3 linked regions of the Rattus norvegicus genome follow. The protein of the gene in region 1 binds, or shares a complex with, the protein of each later gene. Links are inferred from orthologs where the notes say so. Each region holds a gene or a part of one and is shown in the gene's direction. Other genes may lie near its edges.

Region 1 (4,404 bases):
ATTCTTCCTGCTGTCCATCCTTACCCTTGAAACATACAAAAATATCAAGCTACAAAATAAAAGACAAAAGAAAAATGTGTTTGATATTCATCTAGAGACAATGGCTTTTCTCTTTTGGGGGGACAGGTTTCCTCTATTTGACAATACGTTTTAACTAGATTATAACATTACATGTACAAACATCTGAAAAGAAGAGTGAGCTTAATGAACTATGAGATGTTAGACATTCCTATATTACTGAGGGGGAAAGAGATGGGTTAGAAGGAAGATGACCCCAAGTGGAAAGGGGATTTGTGGGTAAGAGTACCAGTTGCTCAGTATTGGCATTACTGCATTGAGTGATATGCACAAGGTCTCCTTCCTTATAAAGCGCACGTTTTAATGGAGAGAAGCATCTAATTGTTCATGCATATCAATAGAGGACTATAGATTTAAAGAATAAAATAAAATAAAGGACTATAGATTTATCTTGACATTACTAAAATTATTTTGAGTGGAAACTATCAAAATTATCCCTGAGTCACCATGGTCAGCTTCCCAGAATAAAATAGACAAATCACGAGAGAGTTGTCTGAAGCTTTATGACAAGACCTTGGCCTAAGGATGTACCTGACTCTGATTAGCTTGAAATAGACAAGAAATACTCTTAGTTGGGTGAAATCTGGTGATGCATGCTGGCCCCAAACTTGCACCACCATGCCTAGCTCTGAAATAACTTTCACCTGTTTATACCCCACATACCTTCTAACCCTAATCACAAGGACCTATGTGCTTTTCCTGATGCCCAGGCCAATGTATCTGTTGTAAGTCACCCATAAACTGCACACTGCAATTCTGGGCTTCCCTGCCTCCTCCTTTGATCTCATTGACCCGTGGGACCAGTTCCCATACATTGGAACAGGGGCGTTTTGTGACAAAAGCATATTCTATGAAAACAGTATTCTAGATATTGGAGAGCACAGTAAGCAGTTGTATTCCCTTGCTTTCAGACACAACATTCTCCTGAGGACCAAAAATAATACGTTTTAGAATCAAATGATAATAAATTAATATTATCCAAACTTCTTGTGATAGTGGAAATTATTTGCACTATATTTGTAATTATATCAATTGTAGATGTTGTGTTACTAAATTTAACTGTGTGGTTATTGCAAATAAGGAATTGGATTTTTTTAAGTCGAAGGACTTACTATATATAAAATGAAAGGTTTATTTAAAACTCTGTCCAAAGATCTGATTGGCTTAGCTTAGCCAACGAAAGACAACTTGCAGGATTGATTTCCCTGCTTCCAACATGTGGATCCCAAGGATTAGGCTCGGATCTTGGAGGGCTTCTCTCAGAACTTTTCCTCCTTTGACGTGTGAAAGTTCCAGGCCTTCACAACTGGTTTTAATAAATTCATAAGTGGTCTCGGACTCCTGCAGGTGTAGTCCACCAGCCCTTCCGCCCTCCGAAGGCGCAAAGCGCTCCTCCCGTCGCTAGGAGCCGCTGTCGCTCTCCCGGTCGCCGGAAGGCAGCGCGGCTTCCGCGTTCTCGTCGCGCATCCGCAGGTCTCCGCGCGCTCTTCCGGCCATTCATACTCCTAGTCTGTGGGTCTTTGGAGCCTGAATTCCGTGGACAGTTGGACTAGAAGGGAGACTGCGCCGCTAGGATGAAGCTCGTGAGGTGAGGAGGGTTACCTGGCTGGGGGAGAGCGGCGGGTAGAGAGTTTGGGCCAGCTTAGGAGGCCGGGCCGCTGTGCTCCCAGGGAGGCGGGAAAGCCGCGTGCGCGCGGCCTGCTAACGGCCTCCGGCGCCCGGGCCCCGCCGCGCCCTGCTCGTCGCCCAGAACCCTGGGCAAGGGACCGGCGCGTTCAAACCCCCTCCGGTCTTACAGGAATGAAGTGGCCAAGCCGTCTCTGTCCACTTCTCATCCGGCGACTTAAACGGAGCAGTGGTCCCTCCGTTTTCGTGGCGAGTCGGAGCACTTGCAGTGACGAGGATTTAGAAGTAGGATGGTTTTATCTGCAAATAACGACGCCGATTTGCAAGACGTTTTAGATTAAGTTCTCCTTAATTTTGACCGACCAAAGCATGTAACTCGTTAATGTAGGCTTCTGACTCAGGAAAGACAAAGTGTCTCTGGATGGGGCAAAAGGTAACAAGTTAATTTCTCCTGATTGCATAGATTATGTCGGAAGTGGAGCCTAACTAGAGTCTTGTTTGCTGGTTTGATTAATTCCAAACTTACAGACTTGTGGCCAAGTCTGGGGCAGGGTATATAATATCTAAGCCAGTTTTTAGAAATATTTAGTTTCTTGTGTCAAGACCTGTTGTAGTTGACCAGAATGCCTTTGGACACTTTAAAGTGCTTCCCAAGTGCTAGATTACAAGCATACATTTTTCTTGGTTTTGCTCATTAGAAAGTAAATTACTATTTGTGTGTGCTCGTGCACAGGTATGTTATAAGACAATTTTTGGTAATTTGTTTTTGCCTTCCACCAGGGTCTCAGGGATTAAAACTCAGGTCCTCAGCCTTTACAGCAAGTACTTTTTACCTGCTGAGCCAACTTGATGGCCCTGCTCAATATTTTAGTCAATTAATTGATTTTGTTAGTGGTAATGATTGGTTTTGGGGTGAGAGAGTGCGCGAGTGTGCTCCTTGGTTGGCTTGGTGCTCACTGTGTAGACCAGGCTGGCCTTGAATTCACAGAGATCCTCCTGCCTCCGCCTCCCTAGAGCTGTATTAAATGATGCACTACCATGGTTTGATTTAGTTTGGGTTTTGAGATTATATTTATGTGCAGGGTGGAGGGTGCCACAAATTAGGCAGAGGCCGGAGCATCTATGTAAATTCAAGTCCATCCTGATGAATTCCAGGATAGCCAAGGCTACACAGAGAAATCCTGTCTCAAAAAAAAAGAGTTGCATTTATTTATGGGGGAAGTTTGTGTGCACAAAGATGAAAGGACCCGTAGGAGGAGTCGGTTCTCCATTATTGGGATCCTCAGACTTGGCAGCAGCAAGCGTTCACCCTCTGTGCATATATACCGGCTTGCTGTGCTTCTTCCCAACACCCCTCCCCCACCGTTTTTTCTTTTTTTGCATAGATAGAAAATTGGGAGATTGTTAATTGTTACTGGTGAGGGCCTGCATAAATGGGTTTGTAACGGCAGAAAGTTGAAAACATCATTCACAGTGGGGTAGTTGACATTTCCATATAGTAGATTACTATCTAGCTCTTGGAATATTTATTTTTAGGGAATTATCCCCAGTGTAAACTGCTAAATAAGCTCCAAGTACTATTGATGCCATTAAAGAATAGCCTACTTTGTGTAAAGTAGAATCTTACATGTATGCTTGTGGGTTAGAATAATATCCCTGTTTACCAAAATGCAGGAAAAGAGAAGTTCTTTATTTCTACCATGTAATCTTATGCTATCAATTAGAATTCTATTTCCTTTTTGTGTCTGAAAATTAGTCTAGGGTCTTTTGTTTGTTGAGACAATTTCACTGTCACTATGTAAAACAGGCTGGCCTCCAATTCACAGAGACCCATTTGTCTGTCTAGCAAGCACTGGAATTAAAGGATGCACCACCACTCCCAGTGCTACTCCAGGATCTTGAGATATCTTCATTTAAGGTTGTTTTGTAATAGTCTCTTTCTAGTATTCTCTAGTCGGAAGCTCAGGACAGCCCAAGTTTACAGACTCGGGTGAAAGCTTATTTGAGTGCTCTGCAGCCTGTGAGCTGCAGGTGGACCCAGTAACGTCCAAAGATGCCAGAGGAAAGTTTATTGCTTCATTCTTTTATAAGTTTATGAGTTTGGTTCAGAAAAAGTTAAGCACTGTGTATTTATTATGAAGAATTATTTTTAAGATGTTTATTTTATGTGTGAATGTTTTATCTGCATGTATGCATCACAAATTTGCCTGGTGCCTAAGGTCAGCGTAGGCCTCCAGATCCTCTGGGAGCAAAGATAACAAATGTTTGTGAGCTTTCGTGTGAGTTCTGGGACTCAAACTGGGTCCTCTGCAAGAGAGGGGAGTGCTCTGCACTGCTGGTTAGCTATCCAGACCCCATATGAACTGTTGTGGCATTTTAAAGATTTTGATCTCTAGCATTTTTACTCTACCGACTTCATCAAAAGACTTAAAATGTTAAGGTAAAAAATCAGGACTTTATTTCTTTTTATAGATTTTTGATGAAATTGAGTCATGAAACCGTAACCATTGAATTGAAGAATGGAACGCAAGTCCATGGAACAATCACAGGTGAGAAGACTGTTTCTGAAATGTTTTTGTTTAAGGTTTTTTGTTTGTTGTTTTCTTCCTTGTGTTTGTTTAATGAGCGTTGTTCTTTTTGTTTCATTCTTTTTGTCTGAATTACTGAATGGAACTTAATTAAACCTCATCTTTTTAAAAC
Region 2 (4,212 bases), on another chromosome or scaffold:
GTTTGGCACACCTAGCTGTTGCCAAGTAACTGTGGGACAGAGTTTAGAGTAAATGCTAACAGCTGTTGTCCTCGTAAACAAAGCAACTCGTCAAACCATCACTGATGGGGAAAAAGTACAATAGGCCCCTTCCTCCCCTGCTGAGCCATCTCTCTAGCCCTGCCTCTGAAATTCTTGTCCCAAACTTATAACCTCAGACTAATAGCGAAAAGTTAACACAACAAGCTTTATTGGCGTTATGTTCTTCAAAATAACTGAGCTATATTTTTAAAAATCAGTAAAGACGGGGTTGGGGATTTAGCTCAGTGGTAGAGCGCTTGCCTAGCAAGCGCAAGGCCCTGGGTTCGGTCCCCAGCTCCGAAAAAAAAAAAAAAAGAAAAAAAAGAAAAATCAGTAAAGACAAAGACTAAAAAACTAGCACTAAAGACTACAGAAGACAAAGGAGGCATACAATTATATTGCAGTGTATGAGATATCAAAACTGGATCCTAGAAGGAAAAAATGCTTAATTAACAGAATCGCACCCAGGGATAGGGGTGTGGCTCAGTGATTAAAAAGAAGCAACATTATACAAATGTTCATCTCCTGTTTTGGATAATTTATAACACTGTTATGGAAAATCTGTAATGTTATCTTGGTCAAAAAATATGGGGGCTAAGTATGAACAGTTGTGCTGCTCTGGCTGGGGGAAAAAAGCAACTGAGTCAAGCAAAGAGGCTTCAACCCAGAAGGTCCTGGCTCTTCATGCCAAAAACCAGAAGACACTGCCTCATCCAAAAGCTCAAAAGGGTTAGAAAAGTGCAACATAGAGATTATGTGTAACAAAGGCACTTTACAAGAAAGCATAAGAAACTGGGGAATGGGAGAGAAAAAAAGAAATTAAAGGAATACAGATTAATGGTACAGTGCTTCCCTAGACGAGGCCCTAAGTTAAATTATTAGCACTGCAAACTGAACCACATCCCAGGTACAATCCTGGTTTTTCACCTTATTGACACTTTCTACATCAGTAAGATTCACATTGTGGAAAAGCACATTAAATTATGTGCTTGTCAAATACAAGATTTATTTATTTTGTTTTGTATATATAAATATTTTGCCTGTATGTACATCGTGTGCGTACATGTCGGAAGAGGGTAGAACTGAATTCCTAACGGTTTAATACCCAGGAATAACCTAATCAATCTTCCACCGCGACTACACCACTAAGAACTACATTTCCCGGAATGCTTAGTACGGCACCTTACTATGACGTTTAAAGAGTTCCCAAGCTCTAATTCCTGTTTCCCACGGCTTCAAGGCACCTGTTCTTGAGGCGTTGCATTCTGGGATAGATTCTGGCGTTCCTGGGCGGCCCTTAAGGTACTAGAGTTAAACTTCCCAGCAGGCAGAGCGCTCGCCTGGGACTCGAGCCAAGATGGCGGGCCGTGAGAGTCCGCCACCGGCTGCCGCGTCCACAGCTCCGATTTCTTTCGGTTTCACTCGCACATCTGTCCGGAGGCGACTGGCAGACCTCGGAGACAGCGAAGGACAGGCCCCAGAGAAGAAAGATTTCTTGGCGACTGTGGAAGGGAGGGAGCTGCAGAGGTGAAACGCCGGGTCTTTTCACGTCTTAGAAATCGGTGAAATGGGCTTAAGCGGGAGGGCAGAGTAAGGTGAAACGCCGGGTCTTTTCACGTTTTAGAAATCGGTGAAATGGGCTTAAGCGGGAGGGCAGAGTAAGAGAAATTTATGCTGGTGACAGTGGCCTGGAAAGCCTGAAACAGCTTCGGGAAATTTATGGAGGTAACCAGGAGTGGCGGCAAATGCCTGTAAGTCAAGACCTGGGAGGCTGGCGCAGGAGGATCAAGAATTGAACGCCAACCTGGGCAATTTGAGAGCCTATATTAAAAAAAAAAAAAAACAAAGAAATTACTAAAATAAGGGCAAGAAGAGGGAGGTTTGTTATGTGGATGAAATGGGGCTTGAGAATCAGAGATATAAATTCCTCAGAGAAAAAGTCGTGTGCCTTTTAAGAAAGGGAAAGGAGGGAGAATGACAGGATTCTTCCTGTCTCAACTGAAATGGTGGGTGCTTCTCCGATTTGAAGAATGAGGCAAAGTCAAGTTTTGGGAGGCCATCATCAGTATAATTAAGAAAGGAAGATCCTAGAGGCCTAAGTGGGGGACTTCTAAACGGCAGTTTATGGGCCTGGAACTAAGAAGCTAGACTAAAGGTGGTGAGTTGTAGGTCATTATGCTTTAAGGCCTAAGAATGATTTGCACAAGACACATTTAAAGCTGGGACCCCGGAGAGAAATGATACATTTGTATTGGTTGTATTTCCAGCACTAGGAAGTTGTACCAGGTTGACTGAGAGTTTATAAGACCAGCATGGGATGCATCGTGAGATGTCTCAAAAAAGATGAGTGGACCTTTAATAGTAACCTGTGGAACATGGTCCATAGGGCTAGGCATTGATATTTATTTTGTTTGTTTGTTTCTTTCTGGCCATTGTTTATTTTCTTTGTTTCTTGATATTTTTACTTTATTTAGAGGGGGTGTCAAGACAGGGTCTCTCCATGTAGACCAGGCTGGCCTTGAACTCAGGGATCCTCCTGCTTCTGCCTCCTGAGTGCTGCTGGGATTAAAGGCATGCATTACCACTACCCGGCTGATATTTCTACTTTCTAATATGTCTACAACCCTTTTTCTCTATCCACATCAGTGTGAACCCTCCAGAAGCTCCAAAGGAGCTGGTTATCCCATTGATCCAGAATGGCTCTCGCAGGCAACTGCTGTCCAAGAACCCTAAGCCCTCAGAAACAAGCACCGTGTTGACGTCAGATGGTGTGTTGTCCCAGGCTGTGAAGGAACTCATTGAGGGTGAGTGAAAACCTTCCTCTTTGCTCTGCCCTAGTGCAGATAGAAGGGGAAGAAGTTGGAAGGATAGGGTATGGCCTCATTGATCCCTCCCATTCTTCCTTAGAATCCAAGAAGTCTCTGGAGGAGAGGGAGAATGCAGGTGTTGACCCCACGCTCACTATCCCCATGATCCAGAAAGGATGTACTCCCATTGGGGAAGGAACATACAGCGAACCTCAGGCTGAGACAGTGAGCTGTCCCTTTGCCTCCCTCCTACACTATTCCTTCTACCCTGTCTGCCTAGTCTCCTTGCACATAGCAGGGAAAGTGTGTGTGCATGTCCCAAAGCCCTGCCAATTAGCCTTTCCTCCTTCCACCCTTATTAGAAGCATTAACAAAACAGAAAGCAGGGTGTTTAAAAATGTACGTGAATGCTGGGATTATCTGAATGAGGTAGACAACAAAGTGGACAGGAAATACAAATGCCATGAGGGTGTACACTGTTTGGAACCACATTTGTCTGTTTCCTCTTTCTTTTTTCTTTGTTCTGATTTTAGCCTGCAGTGTTTGAGGAGCACTAAGGAAACCTATTACTGGATTGGAATGAATGGGGAGGGAGTGGGCAGTAGATGAAGGCAGAGGGGGCCAGATTAGAAAGGGCATTCTGACCCACAGAGCAGACTTTTGTCTTTTACTATGAGTGGAGTGAGAGCTAAGGGGAAGTCTTGAGCAGACAGGGTTAGAACAGGGTCCCCTTTGTCTGCCCTGACCAAAAATGACTAGGAAGTGAAGGTAGGGCAGGAAGGGAGTAGACTAATCCAGAATAGAGGTCGTAAGGATACACACACATAGAAGTGACTGGAGTGAGAACTGGAAGGGTAGTTAACATTTAGTGAGAGAAGAATGATCAGACTGGGGACTCCGAATGGCAGCAACAACCCAAGAAACCCACCCTTGTGGGAAATCAGTTCTGAGGCATCTTGCAGTGTGCCGAGTAATGATAAAGGAATGAAGAAATGACAACAGATGAGATGGAAAATGTGTTTGTAGAAATAAAGTTTGAGCTCAGCTTCTTAATGTTTTAGCTTTTTTTTTTTTTTCTTTTTTCTTTTCGACATAGGGTTTCTTTGTGTAACAGAGCTCCTCTGGCTGTCCTGAACTCACTTATGTAGACCAGGCTGGCCTCGAAGTCACAGAGATCCACCTCACTCTGCCTTCTGAATGCTGTAATTAAATGGGCCTGGCTAGTGTTTTAGCTTTTATTCATAAAATGTTTGTGATACACCCTCTCTTTCAGCTAGTCTCAGTCTTCTGATGTGCTTGGCTTTCTTCTTTTTGAGACAGTTCTATGTAGTCTAAACTGGCCTTG
Region 3 (4,292 bases), on another chromosome or scaffold:
AAGCCAAAGAAACACCAAAGGCTGAGCCTCCAGATAAATAAACAGTAAGTCTAAAGAGGAGAAAGATGGTCAGAGAGAACCAGGCATGGTGACATCTGCAATCCCCGTGATCAGGAGGTAAATTAGACTGGAAGATCGACTTCTAGGCCAGCCTGATATTTAAACAGGAAAAAAATCAAAATAAGAGTATCTGGAGAGGAGACAGAGTAGAATTGTGACAACCTCCAAATCTTGTGGGAAACAAGCTAAGAGAGGTAGATGCTATACTTGGAGAGCATAAACCTAAGGAGGTTTTAAGTAAGAAGACAGAGGCATAAGGTTTTGTTGTGGTTCTACATCCATTTGGCTGCTAGATGATGGGGCAGACAGATGAGAGGAAGCCAGAAAAGAAGCAACCTGAAGTTCATTTCCTTAACGATATGGACAAGATCTCTAGCTATAAAATTAAGAGAATTAAGTACAGATTTCGGTGGTTCCAAAGCTGAACTGGACTTGATGCCGAACTGGCAGTTAAGAAGAGATGTGTTCTAACGTGTGTTTTAAAAGGGATGATTTATTGAAATAGAACAACTGGGGGGATGGATATGTTTAAGGGGAAAGATGGATCTTGTTCAAGATCTAGATTAAAAACTCATTCCAGCCAGGGCGTAATGGTGCATGCCGGTTAATCCCAGCACTAGGGAGGCAGAGACAGGCGGATCTCTGAGTTTGAGGCCAACCTGGTCTACAAAGCAAGTTCCAGGACAGCTAGGTCTACACAGAGAAACCCTGTCTGGAAAAACAAAGCAAAAAACAAGAGTAACAGAAAGCGCATCCTAAAAACCCGGAGCTGGAGTTACACTGGATGGCAGTCAGGAACTTGATGAGAGAGATCTCTCACTACAGGTCTCCCTCGGTCCTGGTTTTTGGCATCTCCTGAGATACCAGGCAATTGCGAAGCTTTCTCCAGCTCGGCCTTCAACACTTGCTATGGGGCTGAACTTGGTACTAAAGGTTAACCGAGGGGTTAAGACAGATAGCAGAGGCCCTCGGGGGCTGGAGGGGGGACGCATCGGGCCGTAAAGACCTTGCGGTAGACACAGATCCGCTCCGCCGCCCGCCCCAGCCTCCGCCACCATCGCCTGACATGCTGCAGACTTGGCCTCTCACCCGCATCGCTCTCCTCAGGCCGGGTTGCTTTGTTGTCCTCGGCTTCCTGGCCGCGCTTCCTCCGCTTTCCGCCTGCGGTACGCTTTCGGGCCATGCTAGCCAGAGGCGTTCCTCCGGACAACCACGCAGGACTGCCGAAAGTCTCCGCGTGCCGGCTCCGCCCCGAGGCGTGCCATGCCTGGCCGCACCCCCAGCTCCGGATAGGACCACGCCCTCCAAAAAATCCCGCCCCCATGCAAACTACAAGGGCGCGAAGGGACAAAAATAGTGTAGTTCGCCTTCCAGTGCGTGGCGGCCCAACGTTTCCTAGTGTCTGCTCTCGCGAGAGGTGGAAAGGGCGCAGCGTTTGAAACATGGCGGACGACGTAGATCAGGTAAGTTTGTCCTGGGGCGTCCGAAGAGGAAGTGCTTTCGTTTCTTAGCCGGGCTTGCTTTTTCCACGCTTCCCGTGGAATGGCCCTTTTCTTTTTCCCGAGTTCCCACGGCCTTCCGCAGCCAGGCCTGCTCCTAAAACTTCCGTAGGCCCAGAGTTTCTCAACCCGCCCATCTGCCCATCTCGCTCGTCGTCGCCCTTTCTCTGTAGAATGCAGACGGCTGTGGATATCCCATCTATGGGAGATACGGTCGGGATTCCGACAGAAAGAGTACTGTAGCGGTAGGACACCAGCATAGTAATACGTGTAAGCACCTGGCACGCAGGCAGTGGCTCACTTGGAGTGTGTTACGAGGGGAGGTCAGATAAAAGGTGCAGTTATGTGAGATAGAGAAACTGCTAGAGATGTAGTATATAGAAAACAAGCAAAGACCTGGCACACAGTGTTTCTCTTCAGAGCATGTTGTTTTAAATGTGTTCTTTATTTAAAATGTTCGTTCCACAACTAGAATATAAGTTCCTTAATAGGGATTTATTGGGGCTTAGTGGTTAAGAGCACTTTTGGCTCTTGTAGACAACCCTGGCTGTGTACCAACACCCACATGTTGCTTTCACTGCTTAACAGTGATTGAAACACCACACTACCTCAGTGTTCCATTACTAAGCCTTCTTCTCTCATCAGCAACAGACCACCAATACCGTAGAGGAGCCCCTGGATCTTATAAGACTCAGCTTGGATGAGCGAATTTATGTGAAAATGAGAAATGACCGAGAGCTTCGAGGCAGATTACATGTAAGTCTGTTAAGTTATCTCAAAACCAGATGCTCCCCTGTCATCCCTTCCTACCTCCTTACAGATAAGAACTGCAACATAAACTTATTTTTTTTAATTATACAATGACTTTTGGGAGTTGGAAATTCCTTTATTGGCTTTTAAAATATTTTTTCCTTAACCAGAATGTTTTTTAGAGAGGGATGGGACTCCTGTGAGACCAGAACAAGGCATCTGATTGCCCAGAGCTGGAGTTACAGACAGTTGTGAGCTGCCTGGTGTGGTTGCTAGGAGCCAAACTCAGGTCCTCTGCAGGGATAACCAGTGCTCTTAATTTGAGCATCTCTACAACCCTGTAGAACACTTTTGTTTTCTTCAGCTTTGTCCTCTGTTTATTTAAAATGAATAAACTTCTTTTTGTTTTAGACAAGGTCATACTATGTAACCCAGCTAGCTTCAAACTCAAGATCCTCCTGCCTCTCTCTCCTTAGAACTGGGATTTTAGACATGCACTACCACTCTTGCCATTGTCCTATGTTTTTAAAAGTTATTGGACAGGGTGTTTTGGTTTTCGACATATAAAACTCTCCTTTGACATGAAAAAAACTAAATAGCAGGCCAGAGATCGTTCACCTAGTATGTGGCAAAGCCCCTAGCACTACCAAAAAAAAATTAAACACCATAGAAATCTAAAGGTGAAATTCCATTTTCTCTGCACTATTCAAAGTTGGCTACATAGTCGTCCACATCTTTTCTGCATGTGTATATGCTGTCTGTGTTTGAAGGAGGATCCTAGTGAGGTACGGTGGCATGTGCCCATAATTCCAGTACTTAGATGACTGAGGTAGGAAGGTCATATATTTGAGGCCAGTCTGGACTACATAGTGAAACCTTGTCTGGTATGTACACACCTTTTCCACACGGTTTCTGTGTGGAATGATTATGCAGCTGACACAGTTGCCCAGGATTCTCTATAAGGCTTCGGTCACTTTTTTGTTTTTCCAGCCTTAAAACTGCATTGTGCACTTTTACATATATTGCTTGTGCACATTTATGATGCCTGTGGAATTGGTCCCTTGAAGTAGCATTATTGTGCACTTAGGGTTTTGTCTCTTCTTGTTACTTTCCTCAGAGCTGTTGGTTTACAACGGGAATTGGAATTAAGTCTTTTTAGTTCAGGCTTAGAAATAGCCCCATACTGGCACCCACAGAGCCAGTGTGGGGGACAGTCTCAGTCTTTCTTCTATGAAGAAATTTTTAGTTCTTTCATGAAACCTGAGGATAAAGAACCTCTGTGACTTGGAAGGAAATTGGACTGTTGATCTACAAGCCAGCATTAGGGAAACAGCGGTGCCAGTTTGGTGAGAAACATGGGATGGAGCTAAATTGAAAGGCTCTTCGGCACATGGAATGACCCCAGGCTAGACCATCGCCTTTAGTTTGGAGGTGTCTGAAGCTCTTACCTCTGTAGTAAGTGGCCCAGGTTTCTGTTTCCTCCCTGCTCTCCAGCTGAACATTTTGCTCATTTGTGTAGCTGCCAAGCAGTTCCTTCTCAATGTGGCGCCTGGCTATTTTTAATCTTGATATGAGCAGGCAAAAGCACTTAGCACTTTGTTAGAAGAACATATAAGTGGGTTCTGAACAAGCCCCAGGAGGTTTGCTGTTAGTAAAAGGGATGAACTTTGGAGGTTGCACTAAACACTGTGGTTGCAATCCTTCCTGCCTGAGCCCACAGATGCCAAAGCATGTTAAGCTCTGGACAAGTTATAAATGGGCAAAGTAAAGGTGGGACAGATGATTGGTGGGTAAAGTTTGAGTGCTGAAGTTTAGATCCCTAACACCTGTGGAGACCCCAGAACAAGCTCTTGCGTTCAACTTAAAGACACTACCTTAATACATACGGTGGGGAGCAACTGAGGAAGGCATCTGTTTCAGCCTCTGGCATCCACACACTTGTAAACATGCAGTACCCGTGTATACTGTACACACATACCCATG

The links. Proteins that work in one complex are often made in the same cells at the same time.
Region 2: Snrpd1 (region 1) and Gpkow share a complex: the UniProt entries of both Homo sapiens proteins name them as parts of the minor spliceosome. The link is inferred for Rattus norvegicus from reciprocal best matches to the Homo sapiens genes SNRPD1 and GPKOW.
Region 3: Snrpd1 (region 1) and Lsm3 share a complex: the UniProt entries of both Homo sapiens proteins name them as parts of the U4/U6-U5 tri-snRNP complex. The link is inferred for Rattus norvegicus from reciprocal best matches to the Homo sapiens genes SNRPD1 and LSM3.

Annotation. Positions count from the first base shown.
Region 1 is NC_086036.1:1,968,139-1,972,542, forward strand, and holds the start of Snrpd1 (small nuclear ribonucleoprotein Sm D1), read left to right. Parts: upstream 1-1,535; 5' UTR 1,536-1,652; coding exon 1,653-1,666; intron 1,667-4,176; coding exon 4,177-4,253; intron 4,254-4,404. UniProt on the Homo sapiens protein: Plays a role in pre-mRNA splicing as a core component of the spliceosomal U1, U2, U4 and U5 small nuclear ribonucleoproteins (snRNPs), the building blocks of the spliceosome.
Region 2 is NC_086039.1:17,475,409-17,479,620, reverse strand, and holds the start of Gpkow (G-patch domain and KOW motifs-containing protein), read left to right. Parts: upstream 1-1,322; 5' UTR 1,323-1,417; coding exon 1,418-1,587; intron 1,588-2,706; coding exon 2,707-2,864; intron 2,865-2,967; coding exon 2,968-3,092; intron 3,093-4,212. UniProt on the Homo sapiens protein: RNA-binding protein involved in pre-mRNA splicing. As a component of the minor spliceosome, involved in the splicing of U12-type introns in pre-mRNAs.
Region 3 is NC_086022.1:125,576,783-125,581,074, forward strand, and holds the start of Lsm3 (U6 snRNA-associated Sm-like protein LSm3), read left to right. Parts: upstream 1-1,402; 5' UTR 1,403-1,502; coding exon 1,503-1,523; intron 1,524-2,204; coding exon 2,205-2,315; intron 2,316-4,292. Other genes in the region: Xpc (DNA repair protein complementing XP-C cells), read right to left, coding at 1,150-1,243. UniProt on the Homo sapiens protein: Plays a role in pre-mRNA splicing as component of the U4/U6-U5 tri-snRNP complex that is involved in spliceosome assembly, and as component of the precatalytic spliceosome (spliceosome B complex).